7 linked regions of the Cricetulus griseus genome follow. The main gene of each other region encodes a partner of the protein of the gene in region 4 in a complex. Links are inferred from orthologs where the notes say so. Each region holds a gene or a part of one and is shown on either strand. Other genes may lie near its edges.

Region 1 (4,021 bases), on a different chromosome or scaffold from region 4:
ATGGCACCTCTGCTCACAGAACTCCTGCCTTTCACTGGATAAACCTTTGGACATTCCAGCATATGCTCACCATACCACTCTCCTCCCCAACTCTGCTTTTGTTCCACAGCCAACTTCTGACTGCTTAATCATGCTGACTTCACTTATACCTCAGGATCTTAACAAGGAAAAATGTCTCCCACAGAGCTCTCCTGCTATTGGGCTCCTTTTAAATATTTCCTCCCCAGAGTCTTTCTTTAACAGTCAAACTTAAGTAGCAGCCATCTCCCCACCAGTATTCCATTAGGTTTAGTGCTGCCTCAAGTTTCCTTCCTCATGTCATTGCTGACATGCTTCTTTTTCCCCAAATAAATGAAGCTCTGGGAGTGCAGGAACAACATTTCTCAGACTAGTTCACCCACCTAGCCTTTGAAAAACCCTGCATAGTACAACTTACTATGCAAAATAGATTTTAGGGGTATGAGCAGCGCTTTGATAAGTAGCTCAGGCTGGTCTTAAATTTTCAGTCCTCCTGAGTGCTGGTAATAATACAAGTGTGAATTGCTATGCTTGGTTTGGCAAAGCAGTTTCTGATTAGGGTCTTGGACGCTAAGCCTGTTTGGCAAGTCTTCCAACCCTGGGCTGACAGTGTTACTTGGCAAATAAGTGTACTACCAAAAATAGTCCTGAAATCTCTTTGGTAGGTTCCAGTGTACTAACTTATATTTATTATCATGTATTAACTATGAAAAGTAATGTAAATAATGTACCATGAGCATATTTATCTAGTGTAATTATTGAAAATAACACATGTGTACCACAGAGATGGCCCAGTAGTTAGAGAGCACTTACTGCTCTTCCAGAGGTCCCGAATTCAGTTCCCAGTACCACACTAGGCAGCTTTCAAGTGCCTGTAGCCCTAGGTTCAGAGGATTCAACAATCTCTTCTGGCCTATGAGGGTACTCACACATACATACAGACATACGGATAAAAATAAACCTAATATATCTAGGCACTGGGGAAACAGCACTCAATAAAACAATGAACTGTGCATTCTGGTGGAAAGTGAGTGAGAGAATGGGAAAGGAAACAAAACAAAAAACAAGCAGAACACCTAGTGTTGCATGCAATGGAAAAAAATATGAGTACCAGAGTACAGGGTACTTTAACTTAAAATACAGTGGCCAGGAGAGCCCACTGAAAACAGGCATCTGAACCAAGATTTGAAAGAACCAGTAGTTAAACATGTGGGCATTTGGAGTAATATTCCAGCATATGCAACAACAGCAACAGAATTAACAGCACACAGGCTGGTGTTATTTGAGAAGGATGACATGCTAGAAAACGGGTACATGAGCATAGAAAAGGGGTTATTACACAGAATTTGATTTTTCTTTAATTTGGAATGAAATAGCCAACACAATATTTTCAGCAGAGAATCATGTGATTTAATGTTGTGGTGATTCTCCTGGCTACCAGACTAATAATTGATCCTTGATTCAAAGGCAAAACCAGAAATACTAATTAAGCCCCACCTGCAATGATGCCAGATGACATAAAAGTTTGACTAGGAGGTAAGGATTTCAGGTAAACAGTTCTCTTCCGTTCAACAAAAGAGTTTTGCTATAATAGCCTACACTGGCTTGGAACCCTTGACCCTCCTGTTCAGCAGCTTGAGTGTAAATTTGTGTGTGTCCAGCTTTTTATTTACTTATTTTTGAGTCAGCGACCTTGCTGTGTTAAAAAGTAAGTTAGTACACCGGAATCTACCAAAGACATTTCAGGATTACTGGTGGTACACTTATTCTTACTTGACAAGTAGGATTGTCAACCCAGAGTTGCAGGCTTGGCCTCCAACTCCTTCCCTCAAAATTTTCTTGTCAGCCTTCTGAAAAGATGCAACTACAGCCCTACACCCCTTGCCAATTTTATTTACTTATTTTAATGACCACACCAGCAGAATTGAGAGTTGGGACAGGAGGCACATTTATTTCCGTATCTGAAACTAATATCATAGTAGTGAGGGCATGATCACTATTTTACAAGAAATGCCATTAGGAGCTTAGCTTCTAACTCAAAGAAGTTTGCTTTCCCTATATGCAAAATAACAGCTCCTTTCGGGCTGTTACCAAGATTAATGGAAATTTCTCATGCAAAACAGCTAACACTCGAGCCAACGGATATTAATTACTGTTAATAATGCAAAATCAGAAAAAGAGAAAAGTAAATTGTACCAGATGGCAGAGAGAGCCTGTATCATTCATTTCCCTTGCTTCCCTTCCCATTCATTCATTCATTCATTCATTCATTCGTCCACTCTACAAACTTTTCTGAATGTTTATTTTATGCTGAATCCCTGAAGATTTAGGATGCGGAACTTTGGATCCTGATTTTTGAGGCCAAGGTTTTAAATGATTCACTGCTACTTCACAGGGCGATTCAAAGGCTGGAAACAGGCGTCCGACAGGGACACATGTATGAAACAGACGCAGAACACACGGCACGTATGTAAACAGAGGCCTGCTTTCACTTCAGCTTCTCTGTCTTTCCGTTCCCGCAGCGCCGGGAAGGTCTATTGGGAGAGGAGCGGAGGGCCGAAGAAGGGATGCCTCCCCACTTACCGCCTGCAGCAAAGCTCCCGGAGTCGCCTGCGGCTGTCCGGCTCCGGGGCCGGCCCCCGCGGCTCCCAACAGCAACTCATGTCGCGGCCGCTTGACAGGAACCAGTGGCAGCTCCGGGCCCTTGCGTTTTGGCTGCTCGATCATGGCGGTAGCCACTCTCTTCGGCGCCGCCACTGACCGCGCCGCCGGCCGCAGCCGCCGCGCAATTGGCTCCAACTGAGTTCTTCCTCCAGAACTTCCGGAGAGGAGCAACCAATCGGCTCCCAACATTCTCTTCTGCAACGCCCTCTGAATGCGCTCTTGCGATTGGTCCGTTCTTGATGACGCCACGAGGGCTCAGCTCTGGGATTGGGGCGTGTAGTGACGTCCCCCCTAGGCGCGCTGTGCATTGTGGGTTGGGAACGAGCGGAGCAGGTTAGGCGTTCTTGGCGATGAAGAGGCTGCCAGGCTAGGAGCTGGCGCGGAGTAAGTGTGCGGGGAACGAGGACGGTAGCTGTTCTAATCTGCGACTAGGTGATGGGCCCGAGCCTAGCATTCTCGGCTGACGGTCCTGCCGTGGGGGTAGGGGAGCGTTCTGGAAAGAGTAGTCCCTTGGCAGGCTAGAGCGGAGCTTTGGGATCTCTGACCGCAGGACTGGAACCCTAAGGCCGCTGTCCCTTGACAGCTAGCTGCTCTGCACAACGCCGCTTTTGCTTCCAGCGCTGTACTAGCGTGATGCCCGACTCCCGGCCTCCCGGCTTCAGTGCCGGGTTTGGCTGAGGAGGCGGACTTAGTTTATACCATTGGTTCAACCGTCTTTTTTTAAGGGCTTAATTTATGCCCCCAGACAGACAGTGATGGAGGAAGTATCCGATGGTTCCTCCAAAGCATAATTTTGTTGAGAAATCTAAGGTCCATGCTTGTGTACCAGGCCTTCTCATAAGCGATCCAAGTGGCGTTTATCGTGCAGAGCGTTGGAGGACACTGAAGAAACATGTTCTCTAACTTCAGGGCTTTAGTGTCTCTTGGGGTGTGTGTGGGAAACATTTTAAACTAATCTCACCAGTTGATTGGAAGACTAGCGAAGAGAGCGATGCCTCATGCTGTGAGTAACTAATGAGCTTGAAGGATTTTCAGAGGAAAAGATGCCTGAGCTGTTGCCGTTTGATCGGACAGTTCTAATTCGGGGAAGAGAGGAAGAAGGCAGAACGTTCTTCACAGAACAGCGTGTGCAGTAGTGCCCTATCATTTGGGAAGATGACTAAGAGGCACGAAGAGCCAGTATGCTGAGAGAGCACTTGAAGGGGGTTATGGTACGAGATAACCTGGGGGTCATGAAGATTTGCAGGAATTTGTAGCTTTAACTTTACAATTAATAGGAAACCAATGAAAATTTTGTCTCCCCTCCAGGGCGTGGGATGTGGAGGAGGAGAAGGCTTGC
Region 2 (2,364 bases), on a different chromosome or scaffold from region 4:
AGAAATCCTTCAGCCTCTGCCTCCTGGGTGCTGGGATTAGAGGTGTGTGCCACTCCCAGCGACTCATTGCTTTTTTGGTGTTCCTTCAGTAACTTAAAACACACCAACGAATGCCCTATTAGATGGTAAGCAACTTCCCATGCTCTGCACGGTTTTTCTCTGGATTCCGTAAAATCTTTTCTCAAATGTCATCATCGCAATATCTTAGCATTACAAGCATAGTATTTAAAATTGCGAATTCTTCAAGCTTCCTCAATCTCCCTGCATCATCTAGCCCTGGTCTATTTTAGCCTTTCTCCAAATTGGCATAATGTATGCCCCCAAACCTTTGGAAAACGCTCTGGTGAACACTGAATGAAAAAAAAAAATCCGTTCTTCATTTCTGAAGACACACAGACTAACTCTCAAGAAAAACAGATGCAACGTGCAACATCTTGAGACCTTGGTCCACAGCACCCTCCCCAGACCCCACCCAAGGAACACAGCAATCCACACCAAAAGATAGGACAAATCCTAAACTTTATAAACATGGCAAGAAGGACAACCAACTACTGAAAGGCAGACTCATTAGAAACGCGTCATCACTCCCGTGGCGTCTTCTCCCTCGCTTGCCGGGTCTAGGGTCGCTCCTCCCGCACAGTTCCCGGGGGTCCCGACAGTCTCTCGGTGACTTGTTCGGAATCGTCCACAGGTAAGCAGGCCAGGCGTGACAGACGATGAAGAAGCCCGAGCAAGGAGGACCGGCCCACCGCTGGCCGGCGGGGGAGCCTGGGAAGCGCTCGCCTCAGTTCTCCTCGGGCTTGTCCGCCGGCGGCCCGCTGGGCTGCAGCATCTTCTCCATCAGGTTGAAGCGCACGCGGGCCTTGCTCTCGTTCTCGGCGATGGCGAAGTAGTTGAGGAGGTCGAAGTGACCCATGTAGGAGCAGTAGGAGTCCCGGTGCTGGTTCACAAGCCATTCCCACTTGGTGGTGTCGGCGTGGCCCGTACCGATGTACTTGGACTGCAGATGCTCCAGCTGGCTGTGGATGGTGTACCGGTCCGTCATCTCGCCGCTCCGCTCTAGGCTTCCAGATCAGGCCGCAGACCCGACGCTACCCGCTCCGCGTTCAAACCTGAGAGACGCCGCCGCCGCCGCTGCCGGCCCGACACGGAACTTCTATCTGTGTAGGCGCGGGAGAAAGACGCCACTGTGGCGCCTGCGCAGACGCTCTTCTCCCAGGCGGAAGCGGAAGTGAATCCTGCCGCGGCATTGGAGTTGCCTAAGAAACATTGGGCCGTCCCCTCAGCGAGCCCGCCTACTTGGAGAGCGTTGCATGATGGTCTGCTGAGTGGCTCTTGGGTGATCACGTTCTAACTCCGGCGTTGCATTCTGGGATTTGTAGTCCAAAGAATTTGGCGTGTTTTTTTCTTTTGGTTTGGTTTTTTGTTTTCTTTTTCTTTCTCTCTCTCTCTCTCTTTCTTTCTTTCTTTCTTTCTTTCTTTCTTTCTTTCTTTCTTTCTTTCTTTCTTTCTTTCTTTCTTTCTTTCTTTCTTTCTTTCTTTCTTTCTTTCTTTCTCCTCCCTCCCTCCCTCCTTTCCTTCCTTCCTTCCTTCCTTTTTTTTCTTCTTTTTTTTTTTTGCCTGACTAATGTAGGATGGTGTCCAACGATTACGACTACAAGTGACCAGGAAAACTATCTCTTGTACCTAGAAGCTCACACGGACCGCCCTTGGTCCCAGCTTTGTCCCTTAGGATCTGGGTAGTGGGAAAAGTTCTTTGGGTCCTAAATGCTTGGTGATGAGTGTCAACACCAGGTGTCTTCCACATCAAAATCCAGGCTCCAACTCCTCACACCACCCAGGGGCCCGAGCCCTCCAACCAAACAACCTCCTAACTTTAAGGCTGCTTACAATCATTTTCTGGAAGTCAGTTGTGTCTCAAGACAAGTACTCTCTCCTTCTGTTTTTCTGCCTGGTTACACCTTATGTTCAACTTAGAGGTTATGTATCTCCTCACAAAGGTATAAACTACTTGAGAAAAAGATACTGTACTTCTTTTCTGATATCCTTTGAGGATATTATATAGCTTGATGGAGATCGTATTCTTTAAAAGAAAAATCTGATGAATGGACAAAGAGCAATCTCAGTCAAAGAGACTGATAATAGGGGAGGGCCCAACCTATTACAGTGGGGACACCCCTGGGCTGGTAGTCCTGAATTGAATAAGAAAACAGACTGAGAAAGCCACGAAGAGTAAGCCATTAAGCAGCACCCCTCCATGGCCTCTGCATTGGCTCCTGCCTTCAGGTTCCTGCCCTGCCTACCTTAGATGATGAACTGTGATACGGAAGAGTAAATGAAATAAATCTTTCATCCCTGAGTTGC
Region 3 (3,240 bases), on a different chromosome or scaffold from region 4:
AGACATGAATGATACTTCAGGCATCACTTGAACCACAGCTTTGTTTATGAGGCTTCTAAAACATAGATATAACCCACTGCAGACTGTGTGAGTGACAGACGATCATCTCTATTAACAAATATGTTTTGAATAGATGGCCAAAATAAATAAGCAGCAATTGAGACCAGCCCTCATTATGAACACTAAGACTGGCCCTTATTACAAACACTATGACTTGTTAGAAACATGCAGGCTAAAGTCTAGAGGAGCCTGGATACCTGAGGCAGAGCTCTGACTGCTGGAGGATGAGGAGTCGCTCCCTTCACTGGAAGAGTCTGAGCTGCTCTCGCTGCTGTCAGAGTCGGACTCTGAGGAATCGGACTCCGAGGAGGATGCTGAAGACGAAGAGGTCAGAGGCGGTTTCTTTTGCTCGCCTTCGGGTTTCTGTGCTACAATTACCTTGGGTGTATTTTTCAGATGCTCTCGCAGTTCATCCCTAACAGAAATACAATGTATTGTTACATTATGACTCTAGGGTACTTGCAAGATAATTTTTCCAGCTAAACCTAAAATTCTGTAAATGACCCTTACGTTAAACCTCCAAGACCTATGGAAGTGAAGAAGTTGATGGCAAAGCGGGTATTCCGTGGGTTATCTCGAGGTAACAGTCCTTCAAAGAATGGCTGTAGAGTTCTGAAAAGAAAAAATGAATGAAAAAAATAGAGAAAAATAAAAACTTCTATACCCACTTACCAGATTTTCTATATATTAAACTAGTAAGTTAAGTATCAAAAAGTGCTTTATGCGATTACATGTTAGGCTACCTAAACATAATACAGGTTAGGCTACCTAAATATAATCAGTAACAAGGAACAGTTCAATGAAGTTCATTTCTGTATAAAAAATATTTCTTTACAGTTTAGTGTATATGTGTACACAGGTAAGAGAACAACATGAAGGAGTTAGTTCTCTCCTTTCACCATGTGTGTGTCAGGGATCCAACTCATTTCAGACTTGGTGTCCTTTACCTACTGAGACATCTCATTGGCCCTTAGATTTGATTTCTCTAATTATACAATACAGATTTAGAAATTTTTTATATAGACACTAGATGCACACAGAGTATAAAGATGGCATATACACTTTTGTACATGGATATATGCACAAATATATTTTGTGCACATGCACAGAAAAAATTAAAGGCGTTAGTATAAGTATGCAATCTAAATCATATAAAAGTACTGGGAAGGAGTAGGGATTAGGCAATGAGTGTTTCATAAAAAGGGAAAATTATAGGAAGATGACTAAGCATTTGTAAGACAGACTAAAAGAGGGTCACTGCTTTTGTAGTTGAGGTGGTAAAGAAGCACGAACAAGCAGCAGCATCCCAAGTTTAGTGATACTGAGGAGACTAGAGTTTAGACTACTGAGGAGGGGGATGAGCCTGATAAAGTACCTATCATATGAAACCAAAGAGTGAAGGACTAGGTCAGAGAAAGCTGCAGACGCAATGCAGGTCTTTCGGAAACGTTTAAGCAAGACAGAGAAATGAAACACTGGGATAACACGTAGCATTAATAGAATGGAATAAGAGCCAGTCTTACTGATGATTAGGAATCTGAATAAAAGGGTTATGTAACAGCCCTAGAAGCAGACCCCGAACAGTGCCTATTGTCACATGCCCTGTAACGTGCAGCATGCTGCTGATGTTACCCAAATTCCTAGAGGGCTTTCCACTGTGAAGGGGACAACTGTCTCTGCTAACATGGGCACGCCCACAGACGAGAAGACTAAATTTAAACTGTTAATAGTCAACTTACTCGTCCTTTAACCTTGCATTCAGTTTAGGAAGACCCATGTATTCACACAATTCCTGGAAAAATATTTTGACAAAAATTCTACTAGATGACGTAGTGGTTTCTTCACTGAGCTTTATACATTCAAGAACCTGAAATTTCAAAGAGAGAATAAAAAAATATTATTATTTTTTAAAAGACAAGGACAAGTAGCTGACCAGTTAAGTCCTCTCAAAATGACTAGGAATTTTCATCTTTCAGCAGCATTTCTGTACCCTCCCTATGTTGACATGTATTATCTCTTGGCGAAGTGGAAGACTGCTTCGCTATATTAACTTTCCAATGGTAAGATGGTACAGAAATAGTATCGTTCTTTTTCTTGAGGAAGGTGCTTTTTATAGCAGAGACGATATCCTGTCTTGAGCATATAACACCAAAGTAAAGACTGCTCTCGAACTTCCCTCAGCAAAACGTGATGTATACAAGGGACTAGGTAAATGCTACCAAGAGCATTAAGCTATAGTTTTGTTTAACACACATATATACAAAAAAAAAAAAGACAAAAAATTGTGGATGATGTATCCTGAAAACTTAGATGACAGTTTTTACAAACTAACTTGTGAACACAAATTTTGGAGATGAATCGAAAAACAAAACCTCTAGCTTTTATGGGTTGTGTTCTAGAAGCCTATTTTAACCCATTGTTTAGAACTTGCTTTCTTTTTTAGAACAGGGGAAATGAAGCAAAGGGTGATTCTGATTAGCTGCTGGGTTGTCTCAAAAATGTCCAGTGAGTGTAGCTGGACATACTCAGGACTTAAGCACTATAAACATCCAATACTCCTAAGGGGTGGAGCTCATTCTACCATCAGTTTGTGGTATTTTACAATGCTGTCTTCCTCTTTTCCTTCTTGGGTGTGATTTCTCTGTATTAAAATTCTTCTAATTTTGCTTTACTTGGAGTAAGAGACTTTTTATGGTGTGTGACTGCCATAGACTTAACTTTTTTTTTTTTTAATTTATTTATTAGTTCTAGTTAGGGAACAAGCTAGTTTCACATGTAAGTCCCTTCTCCCTCTCCCTCCCAGACTTAACTTTTCTCTTCTTACATGGTAACATTCCTAAAAGCTGGGACCACATACGATTGACTGCCCACTACCAAGAATTGTGACTGGACATGCAGGTGGTAGCAAACAACAACATTCGAATGAACAGTGATTATGTAATAAATATGGGGTTAATGTTCAATCCGGTGCATATTTTTCCATTCAGAATGCCTTTCTTTGTTCTCAACACGATCACAGGATCTCCTCCGTATAGCTTAAGCAAAGCAGCCGCTTACCATAGCCTTCTAGAACAATCCTTTCCTTTCCTTGCATCTAACTAAGAGCAACCTTGGAAAAGCTACTCACTCAGGAAATATGGACAGTAACTCTGAGGCACACTTGCCACCAGGATAGGGGGT
Region 4 (3,500 bases):
ACCTTGCTCATAGCCTCCTTTTTACCAATTATTATTGCATACATATATGTATTTTATATACATATATATCCCTAAATATACCCTGTTCAGTCCATATAACGCTACCTGTATGTGTTTTCAGGGCTGTTTGGCACTCAACAACCAACTGGTGTGCTTCTCCCTGGGGAAGACCACCTCTCCCCATTCCCAGCTTTCCTCAGTTCTTTGTGTGGGATTGAGACCTCACAGGTTTTTCTCCTTCCAGTCTGGCATGTTCATTGGTGTCATCCTTGATCAGTTCACGTTTGGGCAGTCATGTTGGTGAGACTTTATGGGTGTAGCTTCTGATATTGCTAAGAGACAACAACCTCACAGCAATTTCCTGCTCAATCCTTTGTTCTTACAATCTTTCTGCCTCCTTTTCTGCAATGGTCTGAGCTTTGGGTTCAGAAATGTTTTGTACATGTATCTATTGGGACTGGGCTTCACAACTCTGTATTGTGATTGGTTGTGTGTTTTTATTTATTTTTGGAAAAGGTTCTTGTTATGTATCCCAGGTTGGCCTTGAACTCTTGGAAATTCTTCTGCTTCAGTCTAAGTGCTAGTATTATAGGCCTGCTTCTTTCTCACGATTTTAGTTTCTCCTGTTAGGTGCCTCTGACTACTGGGCCAAATCTCTATCCTTTGAAAATTTTTATTTTACTTCAGAAAGTTACTAGGCTGCTTTTGCACTTATTATGTAATCCAGGCAGGTCTTGAATTTGTGATCTTCCTGCCTCAGTTTCTGGAGGGTTGGGATCACAGGCATGTCCCATGATACCTGACTTGACTGGCAGCCTTTCTATCCACAACTCTTCCTCACTCTGCCCCTCCAATTAATCTTCCCTGCTACCTGCCATGGTTTCAGGGATATGTTTGTTTTTACCTTCCCATAGAGGCCCCGGAAAGGGCCAGAAAGGATCACCACAGCTCCTCCAGGCATCAACCCTTCCTTATCCTTCTCTCGATCCCCATCTGGTCTTGGTGGGTGATGAGAGCTAGTGGAGGCCAAGGCCTTGGCCTCCATCAGGTTGGCACCCAGTCCTAAGCCTTTTGGCCTTAGAGAGTTGACCCGGGGCTTCACGACTCTGCAGAGAAGAACACAGGTTTGTGGGAGTACAAGTCTTCAACACTTTCCTGCCAGCACTCAAACACACCGCAGAAATCCTTAGTTTTATATTTTTATTTATTTGTGTATGCTTGTACACCATGACACACATGTGAAAATCAGAGGACAACGTATGAGAGTCTATTCTCTTTCTACCATGTGAATTCTGAGGTTATCAGGATTACAGGCAAAGGCCTTCACCCATCCAGCAGCTCACCAGCCCCACATCTATATTTAGATTACCCTTTCTGATATCACATTAGAACTCACTGAGCTATCAAAATGCCAACTTTTCTTTTCTTGTGTTAGGGGGGGAATCCAAGGCCTCAATGCATGATAAGCACCTCTACCAATGAGCTACATTTTCAGCACCCTCAAAAAGCAATTGCATTTGATTCAAGTGAATTAACTTGTTGCATGTACTATCTATCCCATCCTATCTACAAGTGCCAAGTTAGGTTCATATAAACAAATATGGTAACATTTCTACAGAAGAAATCATATGGTAAGTATACAGAGCAAGGGGAATAGTTCTGAATGCTCAATACCAATTATAGTCATATTTGGCTACCAAATGACTTCAGAATTCTTTGAGGATTTACAACTGAAAAGGGATTTTGTTTTTCAGTCCTAGGGATGGAACTCTGGGCCTTTTACATGCTAGGCAAGCCTCTATCACTGGGCTACACACCAGCATAACAAAGGGATTATAAGTCTATGAAGTAAGAGTAAGCATGTTTAGTTTCTGCTTACTAGGGACTAAACCCCACCATGTGTGCCTCATGAGTATAGTTTCATTTAACTCTTGCAACAAACCTGTGAAGGCAGCACTACCATTTGCATTTTTCAGATGAGTAAATTGATCCACAATGAGGAAACTTTAAGTGGGATCTTCTTACTGTTTTGAAGGCAAATCTGAGGTTGTTTGCTTTTTGGTTTATTCTTTTGCAATAACAGGCTTGAACCTAAGGCTCTGTGAAAATCGGGGTTTGAAACAGTAGTGAGTGACTACTGAACTGGTGAGGGTGACAATGTCCTCCCTCACCACCTGGATGGTTTTAGATTAAATGTAACCACAGGGGTCTTATTTATACCCATTGTCCACCCCCCAAATCCCCCAGAAAACTCACTGACTGAAAGTATTGCCGATGCCCTTGCCAGGTTTCCATCCCATGCCCCGCAACATGGCCAGCCCATAGGCCTCCACAGGGACTGCCTCATAGTTGGCTTCCTCTGGCACCTATTGGTCAGGCAGGAGAAGGGAGTCAGGCTTTGTGATGACCCTGTTTGCAGTATTTGCTGGCACTCATGAGGTGACTTCCTACACCCCTGGCTCTTGAACACTATGTGTGTGCCTGGTTTCAGTGGAGGTCAGAAGAGGGCACTGGATGCCCTGGAACTGGAGGCATGGTGGATGTGTACCATGTGGGTACTGGGGCTTCAACCCAGGGTCTACAAGAGCAACAAGTGCTCTTCTGAGCCATTGCTCTAGTACTCCACTCCCCCAGTGTTTTTGTTTGTTGGAGACAGGATCTCACTATGTAGCTCTGGCTGTCCTGGAACTCTCTATGTCAACCAGGCCAGGCTGGCCTCAAACTCAGAGATCAGCCTGCCTCTGCCTCTTAAATGCTGGGATTAAAGGCGTGCACCACCATACCCAGCTCAACAAGTATTTACAAAGAACCTATTATAGAGGCTGGAGAGAGAGCTCGGCAGTAAAGAGCCATGGTGCACATACATATATGCATACACATGAAGTCATACACATGAAATACAAATAAATATGCCTTAAAAGTTTTTAAAGGACCTATTCTGTTATTTTAGATGCTGAGGATAAGGAACTAATAAAATAGAAAGTCTCTGTTAGGGCTTATGATGTAGTTGTCAAGACATACAATAAATCAAATTCTGAAAATATGATACATTTTATAAAGAAAAATAAAGAAGTACTGTGCACAGTGGCACTATCCAGTAGCTCTGGCTATATATGAGATGAGAAAGTAGTGTGGCTTAAAGCCAAATATTTGAAACCAGCCCGGGCAACATGGTAAGACCCACCCCCCCAACTCAACAGCAAAAACAAAACATTGGCTATGGGGAATGCAGAGGGAGGGGAGCCACTGACCCATCATTTAATTAAAGATAAGTGATATGATAGAGGAAGGTATAAGCCGGGCATTGGTGGTGCAGGCCTTTAACCCCAGCACTGGGGAGGCAGAGGCAGGCTGATCTCTGTGAGTTCGAGGCCAGCCTGGTCTACAGAGCAAGTTCCAGAACAACCTCCAAAAGCCACAGAGAACCCCTGTCTCAAAAAAACAAAAAAAACAAAAAAAAAAAGGAAGGAGGAGGTATGAGGCTAGGAGAAGAGTGCTCT
Region 5 (4,005 bases), on a different chromosome or scaffold from region 4:
ATGCTTGGATCATTTCAAAGTCCTGACAAGACTCCAAAAGATAACATACCACAGGCAAATCTCCATCTTCTTCCTCTTCCTTTTCCGGCTTAGTGGTAGAAATAGCTGCCCAGCCCACATCATCATCAACAATCCGCATTCTAGATGAGAACAATAAAAGCCTCAAAAAAGAACTCATTCTGGGACACAGGCCTATGTACACTTACCTATTGTTTTTTGGCATTTATTTATCGTGTGTGTATGTGTGACGGGGTGTGTGTGTGTGTGTGTGTCATAGAATACATATAGAAGTCAGAGGACAACTTGCAGGAGTCAGTTGTTTCCCTCCACCATGTGGGTTCAGAGGATTGAACTCAGCCTGTCAGGCTCGTTGGCAAGCATTGGGCCATCTCACCTTTTGGCTTTTAAAGTTCAAAAGTATGGCTCAGTCTTTGTGTATATGGACTCCTACTGTCAGTTCACTCCATCACTGTCCACCTTTTTGTTTTTTGGTTTTGGTTTTTGAAGACAGGTTTTCTCTATATAACAGCCCTGGCTATCCCGGAACTTGCTCCATAGACCAGGATGGCCTTGGACTCAGAGATCCACCTGCCTCTGCCTCCCAAGTGGCTTACACTTCCACATTGCTGTTCATCAGTGAAGGAACTCAAACAGGCAGGATCCTGGAGGCAGGAGCTAATGCAGAGACCATGATGGGTGCGACTTACTGGCTTGTTCCCCATGGCTTGCTCAGCCTGCTTTTTATAGAACCAGGACCACCAGCCCAGAGATGGTACCACCCACAATGGGCTGGGCCCTCCCACATTGATCACTAAATGAGAAAATGCCTAACTGCTGGATCTCATGGAGGCATTTCCTCAGTTGAGGCTCCTTCCTCTGATGACTCTAGCTTATGTCAAGTTGACACACAAATCCAGCCAGTACACCACCTAAGTTGCAATGGGTTTTGTAAGTAGCCTAGAGACAATTTAAAGAGGATATGAATAGTTTACCCACAAATACTGTATCATTGTGTGGAGGAACTTAAGTACCTGTGGACTTGAGTAACCAGTGTACCAACTGCTGAAAGATGATGGCATCCAATGGATGTGATCTGTGCTGCAAAGAGGTATTTGAAAAACCAGGAACACATGCTACATCTTTAATCACAACAGCCATTTCAGACAAACAGCAGTGTTCAGGACCACTAGGACTCCGAGTCTCAGAGAGGTGAACTCTCTTGCCCAAGATGACCCAGGCTATAAAGTAGCACTGCTAGGATTCAGATTCCAGTTAGTGCTGTTCCAAAGCTTAAACCATGTTCCCTGAATGGCATTGCTCCTTCTTAGAACCACACTGAGCTGGGCGTTGGTGGTACACACCTTTAATCCCAGCACTCCAGAGGCAGAGGCAGGCAGATCTCTGTGAGTTCGAGGCCAGTCTGGTCTACAAGAGCTAGTTCCAGGACAGCCTCCAAAAGCCACAGAGAAACCCTGTCTCGAAAAATTAAAAAAAAAAAAAAAAAAAAAGAACCACACTGAATTTACCACATACCTTAACTGAATATAGGCTCAACTAGTAACACCACAAAGATTGATGTCATGCTGAAGTCCCAAATGAAGGTAAATTTGGGCAAAGAGGGAATTAGGGAATTAGTCTACCCACTTCAATGGGCCACAGAATTTTCTCAGTAGAAATATGAGAATAATACTGTCAGCTCACGATGGTTCCCCCATAGAGGGGTGTGAACCACACTTTATATTCTCTAAGCTGCTAAGCTCTTAGCAAGCAGCAGACCCAAGGCATGGTGTATAAGAACGGGATTAGCTTCCAGAGTTTCGACCTTGTATCCAAAATAGTACCTTCTTAGCAAGCTGCTAAACTTAGGGTCGCTGCTCTAAAGTCTATAATTTCTTTTGTCCTGTGGGCTGATGTTGGATCTCCTATCCCAACCTTTCCAGATTCCAGTGGCCAAGTCACTGCATCCGAAATCTGTCTCAGCACATCCCTCTTTCGAACCTGGAAAGTATATTATTTAAAACAATGTCTACTTCACCACAATGTCCTGAAAGTTATATGGTCAAAGTTTTTAGAAAGAGGCCAGGCACATGATAGGAACTGTACCCATATTAGTTGTTACTGTTAGTAGTAGGCAAGAATAACAGGACTTAGATCTTTGGTTCCAGATCAGTTCCTAATACTTTGAAGGCCCCAGAAACAGATTTTTGAATTCTAACATTAAAAAAAAAAAACCGCAATCACTGGGGCTTTTAATTAGTTCTACTACTCTCAGGGCACGACTTTTCAATCTGTTCGAGGGACGATACAAGGCTACAAAGGCGGGAAAACAGTAAGGAAGTTCTAAGTTCTAGCTGGCCTTAACGCATGGAAGACACTGCTCAGAGGACGAGGTCTGAGCTGCAGGCGGCGGCGAAGAGCCGGCTCGGGAGCAGCGGGGCCGGGCCTGGGTCGGCAGCGCTCGCAGCGCCGCGCGGGCGGGGAGGAGGAAGAGCTGCGGCCGAGGGCGCAAAGGGGCAGCGCGATGCCCCATCAGTCCACTCACCCCTTGCCACCGGCGCCTCCTGGCTTCGGCCGTTTTCTGCGCCGCTTCCGAACCGACTCTGGACCTCCTTCCGGGCCAGCATCTGCTCCAGACAAGTAACGCTTCAGATACTCAGCCTTGGAGAGCGGCAGAGCTGCCGCCATGGCAGCGGCGAGGGCGGGGCAACGGCTCGGCGTTGGGGACAAAAATTCTTCTACGGGAAACGGATGGGGGTGGAGCCAGAAACGGAAGCCCTAGGAGTGGCCCTTATGGAGCTACTGGGGCTGATAGGTGTCATGACTCTTAAAAAATGTCTTTACAGGCTCGGTGTGGGGAAGGGGAGGTGCATGAATGCATCGTAGGGCCGTTCTGCTTTCCTGTGACGACACATCCGTGCAACGCTCTCAGCCGGGACTGTTCCAGCAAAGAGGTCACAGGCCGACTTAACTAGTCCTGCCCTGACGACTGCACCGGAGTAGGGAAGAACCGAAACTCAGGAGATCAGAGCACCTATTTGAATACGAGACCGATCGTAACTGTGCCACTGGGGGCAAGTTATTGAATAGCATTTTAATAACGGATGTTGTGCCAAATGCCTAGCACAATTAGTTTATTTCAGTTATTATTATCATTATTGAAGAAGAAGAAGAAGAAGAAGAAGAAGAAGAAGAAGAAGAAGAAGAAGAAGAAGAAGAAGAAGAAGAAGAAGAAGAAGAAGAAGAAAGAAGAAAGAATTTACAAAAGCAGGGACTTGGTGAAGCTGCCTGGTGGATACCCTTGAGGACTCATAGGTAGATGCCAACCCAGAGCAGGAGGAAGAGGACTCCCAAGCCCATTAAGAGTTAGGGCACCAAGGAGATGAGGAGCTCTTTATAAATAATTGTATGTACTTGGTGGAGGTGACCTTATAAACGAAGAACCAGGAAGTACCACGATCAGGTGTGGGAAGACAGCTGGATTGACCCAGCTGGTGTACCTACTGATGACCCCCAGCTCTTTTGCCCACAATAAACCACCAGTAGAACTATTTCGGTTATTTTTATTGGTATAAATACCTTTTGGTAGACAGTATACTGGAACAGTGCCATTTAGGGGAAGTCAAACAAATCCCACCCCCAATATTGTGACTGAAAAGTGGATTGGTCTCATCAAACCTGTATTGACCTTTCCACGTTTGGTATTATCTCTCAAGAAAATGGTATACAATCTTCCCAATAAAAATGACAAGGAATTGTTGTCAATGTGGCAAAGAAAAGAAAGCCAGGAAGATTCTATTTCTTATAGGGGGTTAAGTGTTTGGTGAATCTTCACTTGACCCCCACAATTCTGTTTCTTCTTCCATCAAGCACTGGGGATTGAACCCAGGGCCTTGCACATGATAAGGAAGAGTTCTGTAGCAGAACTACTTCCCCCACCCCTTTCTGAATTTTGGAGACATGACCTTGCTAAGTTGCCCAGGATGATCTTGAGTTTGTTATCCTTCT
Region 6 (3,938 bases), on a different chromosome or scaffold from region 4:
CAACTGGAGAGAAAGGCACACAGCCCTTTGAAGTCAAATGCTTTAGTGGTGGGCTAAGTAGCATATAAAAGAAATATGAGGGGCTGGAGAGATGGTTTGGTGATAAGAGCACTTGCTGATCTTGCAGAAGAGCAGATTCAAATCCCATCACCTACCTTGGGTGGCTCACAACCCCCTGTACTCCAGCTCCAGGGAATCTGAAGCCGTTTTCTACTATGAAGTTACATCAATAGCAAAAGTCAGACAAAGATACACTTTAAATCAGGTTACTAATTAAAAAGAAAAAAAAATGGCTGACATGAACTAGGGAGAGTGCTCAGTCACAAAAGCACTTGCATAAGCTCAGTGCCTAGGTTGGAATCCCTGGCATCCACATAAAAGCTGGGCACTGCTGTATGCCTACAATCCTGGTGCTGGCAAGGGCGAGGTACAAGGATCACTGGTACTTGACAGTCAACCAGTCTAGCTGATGAGCTCCAAATTCAGTGAGAGATCCTGTCTCAAATAAATAAATGAATAAAACAGAGCGCAGTGTGGTGGCACATGCCTTTAAACCTAGTAGAGTCAGAAGGAAATTTAAATTTTAAGTTTTAAGTTTAGCCTGGTCTACCTAGCTAGTTCTAGGCTAGCCAGGACTACACATTAAAACTTGTCTCAAATAAATAAATAAATAAAAGTTGGAACACTGAAGAAGGCAATCAACATTGACCTCTAGCCCCCCCCACACACACACACTCACACTCCTTCCCCCCAAAATAAAGCATTGTTGACTTCACCTTATTGGAATACAAGAATTATGTCATATGTAAGTATTAAAAAGAAGGTGATTAGCATAGAACTTTAACAATAAGAACTGCCATTGCTAATATTTACTCCTAATAGGGAGTACATAAATTATTTCATTTCATCCACAGTCAGGGAACCTCAAGAAGCAGACCTTTTTGCTGTGTGGATTTTAAGAAGAAGAAAAATGTGCTTATCAGGATTTAAAACACTACCAAGTAATGAGGACATAGGGCTGGAAATTTGCTTCAAATGTAATTCTGAATCTACCGTACTACTGGTTCAAAAACTGTGAAGCACAGATATGAGACGATGGAAACAGCTTTGTATTTGTAAAGTCAGCCTTTTAAAAAAAATTTTAAAGATTTTATTTATTTATTATGTATACAGTCATGTGCCTGCATGCCAGCAGAGGGAACCAGATCTCATTCAAGGTGGTTGTGAACCTCCATGTGGTTGCTGGGAATTGAACTCAGGACCTCTGGTGGTGATAAACACCTTTAATCCCAGCATTGGAGATGCAGAAGCAGGCTCTCTCAGCTTGAGGCCCGCCTGGTTCCACAGAGTGAGCTCCAGGGCAGCCAGAGCTATGCAGAGACCCTGTCACGACCCTCTAAAACAAACAAAAACAAACAAACAAACAAACGGGAAGATCTAGGGTGATGAGTGTTTGTGTGACATGGATATGTCTGGGAAAACCCCAGGGCCGAAATGACAGCAACAGGAACACAGGGTATAGCTACTGCTTAATTTGTACACACCTTGCACTTTGTAATTTCACAAACTTGATGAGATAAACTTCTGTAAAATCTTCTGCTGGGTATTCATCTAGAGCGTTATACTGTTCAATCGCACCGTATAGAGCAAATCGCTCGACTAATTCCTTCATGGCTCCCACTGCAGGGACTCCCTGTATTAATAAGTACTGGGATTCCAAATTGATTGTGTATACCTAAAAAACAACAACAACAAAAAACCCTCAATCAATAAATGTACCTCGCAGACAAGCAAGCCTATGGCAAATCTGTCGCTCTGGGAGGAGGAGGAGGAGGAGGAGGAGGAGGAGGAGGAGGAGGAGGAGGAGGAGGAGGAGGAAGAAGAAGAAGGAAGAAGAAGAAGAAGAAGAAGGAAGAAGAAGGAAGAAGAAGGAAGAAGAAGAAGAAGAAGAAGAAGAAGAAGAAGAAAGAAAGAAGAAGAAGAAGAAGAAGAAGAAGAAGAAGAAGAAGGAAGAAGAAGAAGAAGAAGAAGAAGAAGAAGAAGAAGAAGAAGAAGAAGAAGAAGAAGAAGAAGAAGAAGAAGAAGAAGAAGAAGAAGAAGAAGAAGAAGAAGAAGAAGAAGAAGAAGAAGAAGAAGAAGAAGAAGAAGAAGAAGAAGAAGAAGAAAAGAAGAAGAAGAAAAAAAGAAGAAGAAAAGAAGAAGAAGAAGAAGAAAAAAAGGAGCTTTGAAAGCAAGAAGAAGAAGAAGAAGAAGAAAAGAAGAAGAAGAAGAAGAAAAAAAGAAGAAGAAAAGAAGAAGAAGAAGAAGAAGAAAAAAAGGAGCTTTGAAAGCAAGAAGAAATACTCTGGTCAATTCCGCCTGTAAACACACACGCAGAACTGTCGCTCCCGGCTAACGGCTAACACAGGCCCCCTGAGGGCGCCTGGCTACCCCAGTCAGCGGGCGCCAGTGCGCGCGCTGAGGAAGCGCTCCTGTCAGCTCGACGGCGCGGAGCGGCGAGGAGCGCAGCGCTGACCTCCGGTCGGTCCCGGGGCCTCCCGCGGGGAGAGACCCCTCTGTGGCGGCGTCCCCGTCAGGCCCTCCTCACCAAGGCCGCCCCCGCCCGGGGGCCTGGGAACGCGAGGAAACCGCAGCCGCCCTACCTTGACGGCGCGAGGGCGTCGGCCCTCCCGGTACCTGGCCCGCGAGTCACACACGGCCGTCTGCACGTGGTGATCGAAAACGCTCCCCGGCTTCCCGTCACTGGACGCCATGCTGCCAGCGGCGACCCCCAGCGCCACAACAACATCCGCCGGACGCGCTCCTCCTCCTCCGTGGCCAATGAGAGGGCAGGGTGGCTGGCGCGTGCTTGGATTGGCCGGGCAATCGACGCCATCGACGATCGTTTCCTGGGAGCGCGAACTCGGTCCTCCGTGTGCCGCCCCCTCGCGTCTCGGAGGAGCGACGGGAGGGTGACGCCGGCGGGGCCGGCGACGAGGGGGCGGGGCCGATCGAGCGGCCGATCGAGCGCCAGCCCCGGGCTCCGGCGGACGCCGCGACCTGCGCGGGAAGCGGGCGGGCTCGGGGGAGCGGGGCCGGGACGATGTGGAGCGGCGATCGCTCGGCGGCTGCGGGCTCGGGCGGGGCGGTCGTGACGGTGGCCTTCACGAACGCTCGGGACTGCTTCCTCCGCCTGCCGCGGCGCCTCGTGGCCCAGCTGCACCTGCTGCAGGTAACGCGCTGTCCGGGTGGGGGCCGGGCGCCGCCGGGGTCCGCCCGGGCCGGGCCTGGTCCGTCCCCGACGGCGCGGAGCGTGTGAGCGCCCCCCCCCCCCCCGCGGCGCTGCACCCACCCCCTGCGCGGCTCGGGCGGCCCCGGCCCCGGCCCCGGGCTTCCCTCCCAGCCCTCCGCCGCAGCTCGGGTAAAGCAGACTGAAAAGTCTGGGATTCTTTGCGAAGCAGCCTCGCTCTCGGCTGCAGAGCTCTAGAGGTCTCCGACCCACGGGCTTTCGGAAAGCGTCGTCCTGCCACAGAGGCCTCCTTCCAGCCGCTGTGTAGATTACGGAGGTTTCCAGTTCGTGCCCAAGAAGGTTAATAGGACGGCAGCTCTCCCGGCTTAGGAGAGAACTACGCAGGGGTGTGCGGGGAGGGGAGGAGCAGGCGATGGAATTATTCACACCTCACACCTTTACACAGGGGTAACAGGATTACTGGAACCTCAGCGAACTGTCACTGTCCGGATGCCGTCATTATGGTGTTCCAAGGTGGAAATACAGCACGCGGATTTTCTTAACCAAGAGTGAGAGGCAAATAGGTTCTCATGGGGGGGGGGGGAATCGAAAATTAGAATATTTGAAATCTTCTAAAATCTGGCATGCTGCCAGACTACTGGTTCATCAAAGAGGTATCCAAGAGTTTGAAATGACTTCAAGTAGTTCAACTTTCTTTCCTCTTGAGCTG
Region 7 (3,500 bases), on a different chromosome or scaffold from region 4:
AGAACTCAACTGCTCTCTCGTAGACTTTCCTTGCATGGGCAAAGTAAGCATGCTTCTCTTCAAATCGGGCATACTTGATCCAGTTCTTCACAGCAGGGTGCACCAGCACGAGTGCAGGGGAGTGAAGGAAAGCAGGCAAGACACCACAGCTAAGCCAATAATGGAGGCTGAGGTGAGCTCAGTGCTAGAGCCCATGCACAGCTTCTACAAAGGCTCAGTGCCCAAACAATAGGCCCCAAACCACACTAAGCTCCCAAACCCCAACAATCAAAATACAAGTGGAGGGGGCACATACCAAGGAGTCTAACCACCACCCCCCAGCCTCTGAGGTCAGGGTTATGTTACTCATTCTGCTCTGCCTTCAGTGCTGACTCTGCAGTGGGTACACACAGAAGCCTGAAGTCAAAGAAAACCCTCAACCTGGTTATAAGCCATGTGATCTTCAGCAAGTCATCCGTCTCAGTTTTTTAGTGTGTTAAAGTGAAAAATTGTACCAACCTCACCCGTCACTGCTGCCTCTATAAAATGAGGCAATGTTTATGAAACTTAGCTCTTTCTGGCCAAAAGAACATGGTCAATAAAAAGCACCTATTACATTAAATGCTCAATAACAGCAGTCTACCCATAGTGAGTAGAACAGTCTGCCACAAAAAGAAAGCTGATATCCAAAGCTAAGGAGAAAGTTTTCACTTGCCATTTAACTACCAGGGCACATCAACCTTCCTTGAAGAAGCCAATAATGTCCAGTGATTAATACATTCAGATGTACCAAAGATGTTAAGAGCATCAGTTCTGAGGCTGATTTCCTGGGTCATTTTCAACATCACCACCTGAGACCATAGTCAACTTACTTTATTTACTCATTCATGTCTCAGTTTCCTTACCTGTAGAATGAAGCAGTTGCTGTACTGCAGGGTTTTCATAAGTACTGGCACTACTAAGTGTTTAGAATATCGTCTGCTACAAACCAAGTGCTTCTCAAGCCTCTGTGAAGCCACTATCAAATAAGACAACTTAAGATATTAATGTTGCAGCCAGGTATTGATGGCACACGCCTTTAATCCCAGCACTGGGGAGGTAGAGCCAGGTGGATCTCTGTGAGTTCGAGGCTAGCCTGGTCTCCAGAGCGAGTGCCAGGATAGGCTCCAAAAGCTACACAGAGAAACCCTGTCTCAAAAACAAAACAAAACAAAACAAAAGATCTTAATGTTGCACAATAAGGCTCTCATTTGTACCTGTTCTGTAAAGCCAGTAAGAACTCTCAATTACTGAATGCCAAACCACCGATCCTAGGAGGGATGTGGACATACCTCCCACGGCCCATAGTTTTAAATTCTAAAAACTGTACATCCTATGTGTGTGCACACATGCACATATGTGCATGAGTGTAAGAGGTCAGAGGCTGAAATCACTTATCTTATTCAGTTGCTCTGTAACTTATTTTTTGAGACAGAGCCTCTCACTGAGCCAGCTTACCTATTCAGCTAGACTGACTGGCCTAACAACCCTAGTGATCCTCCTGTCTCCATCTGCTCAGTACTGGAATTATAGATGTGTGTTACTGAGCCCAGCTTTTTATGTGGGTGCTAGGGATCCAAACACAGGTCTTTATGCTGTGCATCAAGCACTGTATCAACTAAGCCATCTATTCATGAGCATCAGACAACTAGGCTCAGGTTGTCCCACTACAGAGGTCAGAATCCTATCCTACTGGCTTCAGAGAGGGAGAAAGCTTCTTCCTGCCTTAACACTTGGGCGCACACACACACACCCTACCTGAAATGGACGTCAGCTAGGAACTGCATGCTGAGGGACACAAAATGTTCACTGTCCTATACATGTTTACAAATGGCTGCTAAAGCATTGTAATTATTAATTTGGAGATTCCAAATAAAATTTAACAAGTGTGTCGATTTGCAAATAAGGTGCCTTTAGGTGATGAGGATTACAGAGCTCTTTCTAACAGTGCTTTCACAAACACCATCTTCTAGTTGTTAACAGCCGTCTGCCACAACTGGCTGTTGTATTTTCTATAATGCTGCGGCCTAAACTTGAGGCCTCAAAATATACTAGGCAAGTGCCCCAGCAATGAGTATACACTAAGCTTTACCATGTTTAGTTTTAATTTTTCTTATATATAAAGGACACAAAGGATCAAGGAACTAAATGACCCTGGAGTCACTTACTAGTAAGCAATGAATCTCTGGCTGACCTCCATTAACAGTGCCTTTGTTAATCATAGGCCATTGGTTCTAGCAGCTAGGATTTAGTGCAAAAACAAACAAACAAACAAAAAACAAGACAAAAAACAAAACCCAAAACTGAACCCATGTAACTGGAAAGACTCAAATCACCCAGACCACAGATTTTTATTTGAACAATTTCTATCCCTACAAGAAATTGTGAAAGTGATGAAACTTGCCTTCTTGACCTTCAGTGTCACCTTAATGGCAACATGTCTTGACCGTGACATCTTTTTTTGGGAGGTAGACCTCCATGACAACCACATACCACTTATACCTCATTCAAAGGATATAGCGTTCATAAATGGTGCGGGCCCGCTCCACCTCTTTGTATCTCAGCTCGAAGTTGATATAGGAGTGCCAGGCCTGCTCCTCAGGCTGCCATTCCATCCAGCGCTCAAACACCTGCCGGGCACCCGCAACATTGCCCAACATCTCCTCCATGTACGTGTATTTGTACCTGATACAGAATCATCCAAAGATGCCTGCTGTGGTCAAAATGACTTAGAGGAAAAAGTAATCTTTGACATCTCCAGTGCTCTGTTTACATTTAAGTTTTACTTACATAGCTATGGAGCATCAGGATTATGACTCACAGATAATGTGACATTAAATACACTATTTTAAGGAAAAGTAGAATGTAAAGTTCAATATATAAAATTATTATAACTGCACATAAAACCATAATATACAGTAAGTGGTATAATTTTCTAATTCACCAAAGGCTGCTTTGTACAACCAGAGGCTTACCAGAACTGGTTGACTCGTGGCAGAGTTGTTATGGCTCGGTCCCAGATATTTCGGGCATGGTTGACTTGGCGGTTCTTCATTTCCATTTCTGCATATTTCAGCCAGAGTGTAATATTCCGATAGTCTACATCTAAAGCACGCTCGTATATGGATCGAGCCCTTAACAAATAAGATATTGAGAGCATCAAAAGCAGCATCTATAAGACATAGAGTAGTCACTTCAAACTAGCTGCGATACCCTACTGTTTTGTTGGATATACATCGTGAGACAGGTTCTGGTCATAAAAAGAGAAAAAGCAATGACATGCTCAAGTTATTGTACAATCTTAAAGAGAGACAAGCATGCAATTATTTCATACTGTCACAAGCAAAAAAAAAAGTCAAGGTCTGCACAGGAAGCAGAGGGAGAAATGGCAATGTGTGGTGGGAGAAATGGCAATGTGTGGTGGAACAAACAGGCTAACTAGGAAGAGCTTCAGAACTGAGACTGTAAGAGATAGTTCCAGT

The links.
Region 1: Gpkow (region 4) and Snrnp40 share a complex: the UniProt entries of both Homo sapiens proteins name them as parts of the minor spliceosome. The link is inferred for Cricetulus griseus from reciprocal best matches to the Homo sapiens genes GPKOW and SNRNP40.
Region 2: Gpkow (region 4) and Sf3b5 share a complex: the UniProt entries of both Homo sapiens proteins name them as parts of the minor spliceosome. The link is inferred for Cricetulus griseus from reciprocal best matches to the Homo sapiens genes GPKOW and SF3B5.
Region 3: Gpkow (region 4) and Cwc22 share a complex: the UniProt entries of both Homo sapiens proteins name them as parts of the minor spliceosome. The link is inferred for Cricetulus griseus from reciprocal best matches to the Homo sapiens genes GPKOW and CWC22.
Region 5: Gpkow (region 4) and Bud13 share a complex: the UniProt entries of both Homo sapiens proteins name them as parts of the minor spliceosome. The link is inferred for Cricetulus griseus from reciprocal best matches to the Homo sapiens genes GPKOW and BUD13.
Region 6: Gpkow (region 4) and Rbm48 share a complex: the UniProt entries of both Homo sapiens proteins name them as parts of the minor spliceosome. The link is inferred for Cricetulus griseus from reciprocal best matches to the Homo sapiens genes GPKOW and RBM48.
Region 7: Gpkow (region 4) and Crnkl1 share a complex: the UniProt entries of both Homo sapiens proteins name them as parts of the minor spliceosome. The link is inferred for Cricetulus griseus from reciprocal best matches to the Homo sapiens genes GPKOW and CRNKL1.

Annotation. Positions count from the first base shown.
Region 1 is NC_048595.1:22,689,899-22,693,919, forward strand, and holds the start of Snrnp40 (U5 small nuclear ribonucleoprotein 40 kDa protein), read right to left. Parts: upstream 2,801-4,021; 5' UTR 2,746-2,800; coding exon 2,602-2,745; intron 1-2,601. UniProt on the Homo sapiens protein: Required for pre-mRNA splicing as component of the activated spliceosome. Component of the U5 small nuclear ribonucleoprotein (snRNP) complex and the U4/U6-U5 tri-snRNP complex, building blocks of the spliceosome.
Region 2 is NC_048595.1:275,868,412-275,870,775, forward strand, and holds Sf3b5 (splicing factor 3B subunit 5), read right to left. Parts: upstream 1,195-2,364; 5' UTR 1,046-1,194; coding exon 785-1,045; 3' UTR 501-784; downstream 1-500. UniProt on the Homo sapiens protein: Component of the 17S U2 SnRNP complex of the spliceosome, a large ribonucleoprotein complex that removes introns from transcribed pre-mRNAs.
Region 3 is NC_048599.1:97,174,846-97,178,085, reverse strand, and holds part of Cwc22 (pre-mRNA-splicing factor CWC22 homolog), read right to left. Parts: intron 1,928-3,240; coding exon 1,800-1,927; coding exon of another isoform or gene 1,796-1,799; intron 673-1,795; coding exon 571-672; intron 476-570; coding exon 258-475; intron 1-257. UniProt on the Homo sapiens protein: Required for pre-mRNA splicing as component of the spliceosome. As a component of the minor spliceosome, involved in the splicing of U12-type introns in pre-mRNAs. Promotes exon-junction complex (EJC) assembly.
Region 4 is NC_048604.1:114,163,366-114,166,865, reverse strand, and holds part of Gpkow (G-patch domain and KOW motifs-containing protein), read right to left. Parts: intron 2,367-3,500; coding exon 2,257-2,366; intron 1,107-2,256; coding exon 905-1,106; intron 1-904. UniProt on the Homo sapiens protein: RNA-binding protein involved in pre-mRNA splicing. As a component of the minor spliceosome, involved in the splicing of U12-type introns in pre-mRNAs.
Region 5 is NC_048597.1:158,021,263-158,025,267, reverse strand, and holds the start of Bud13 (BUD13 homolog), read right to left. Parts: upstream 2,801-4,005; 5' UTR 2,686-2,800; coding exon 2,543-2,685; intron 141-2,542; coding exon 50-140; intron 1-49. UniProt on the Homo sapiens protein: Involved in pre-mRNA splicing as component of the activated spliceosome. As a component of the minor spliceosome, involved in the splicing of U12-type introns in pre-mRNAs.
Region 6 is NW_023276806.1:221,965,166-221,969,103, forward strand, and holds the start of Rbm48 (RNA-binding protein 48), read right to left. Parts: upstream 2,801-3,938; 5' UTR 2,754-2,800; coding exon 2,643-2,753; intron 1,736-2,642; coding exon 1,545-1,735; intron 1-1,544. Other genes in the region: Pex1 (peroxisome biogenesis factor 1), read left to right, coding at 3,083-3,211. UniProt on the Homo sapiens protein: As a component of the minor spliceosome, involved in the splicing of U12-type introns in pre-mRNAs.
Region 7 is NC_048599.1:33,085,796-33,089,295, reverse strand, and holds part of Crnkl1 (crooked neck-like protein 1), read right to left. Parts: intron 3,153-3,500; coding exon 2,994-3,152; intron 2,704-2,993; coding exon 2,537-2,703; intron 112-2,536; coding exon 1-111. UniProt on the Homo sapiens protein: Involved in pre-mRNA splicing process. As a component of the minor spliceosome, involved in the splicing of U12-type introns in pre-mRNAs.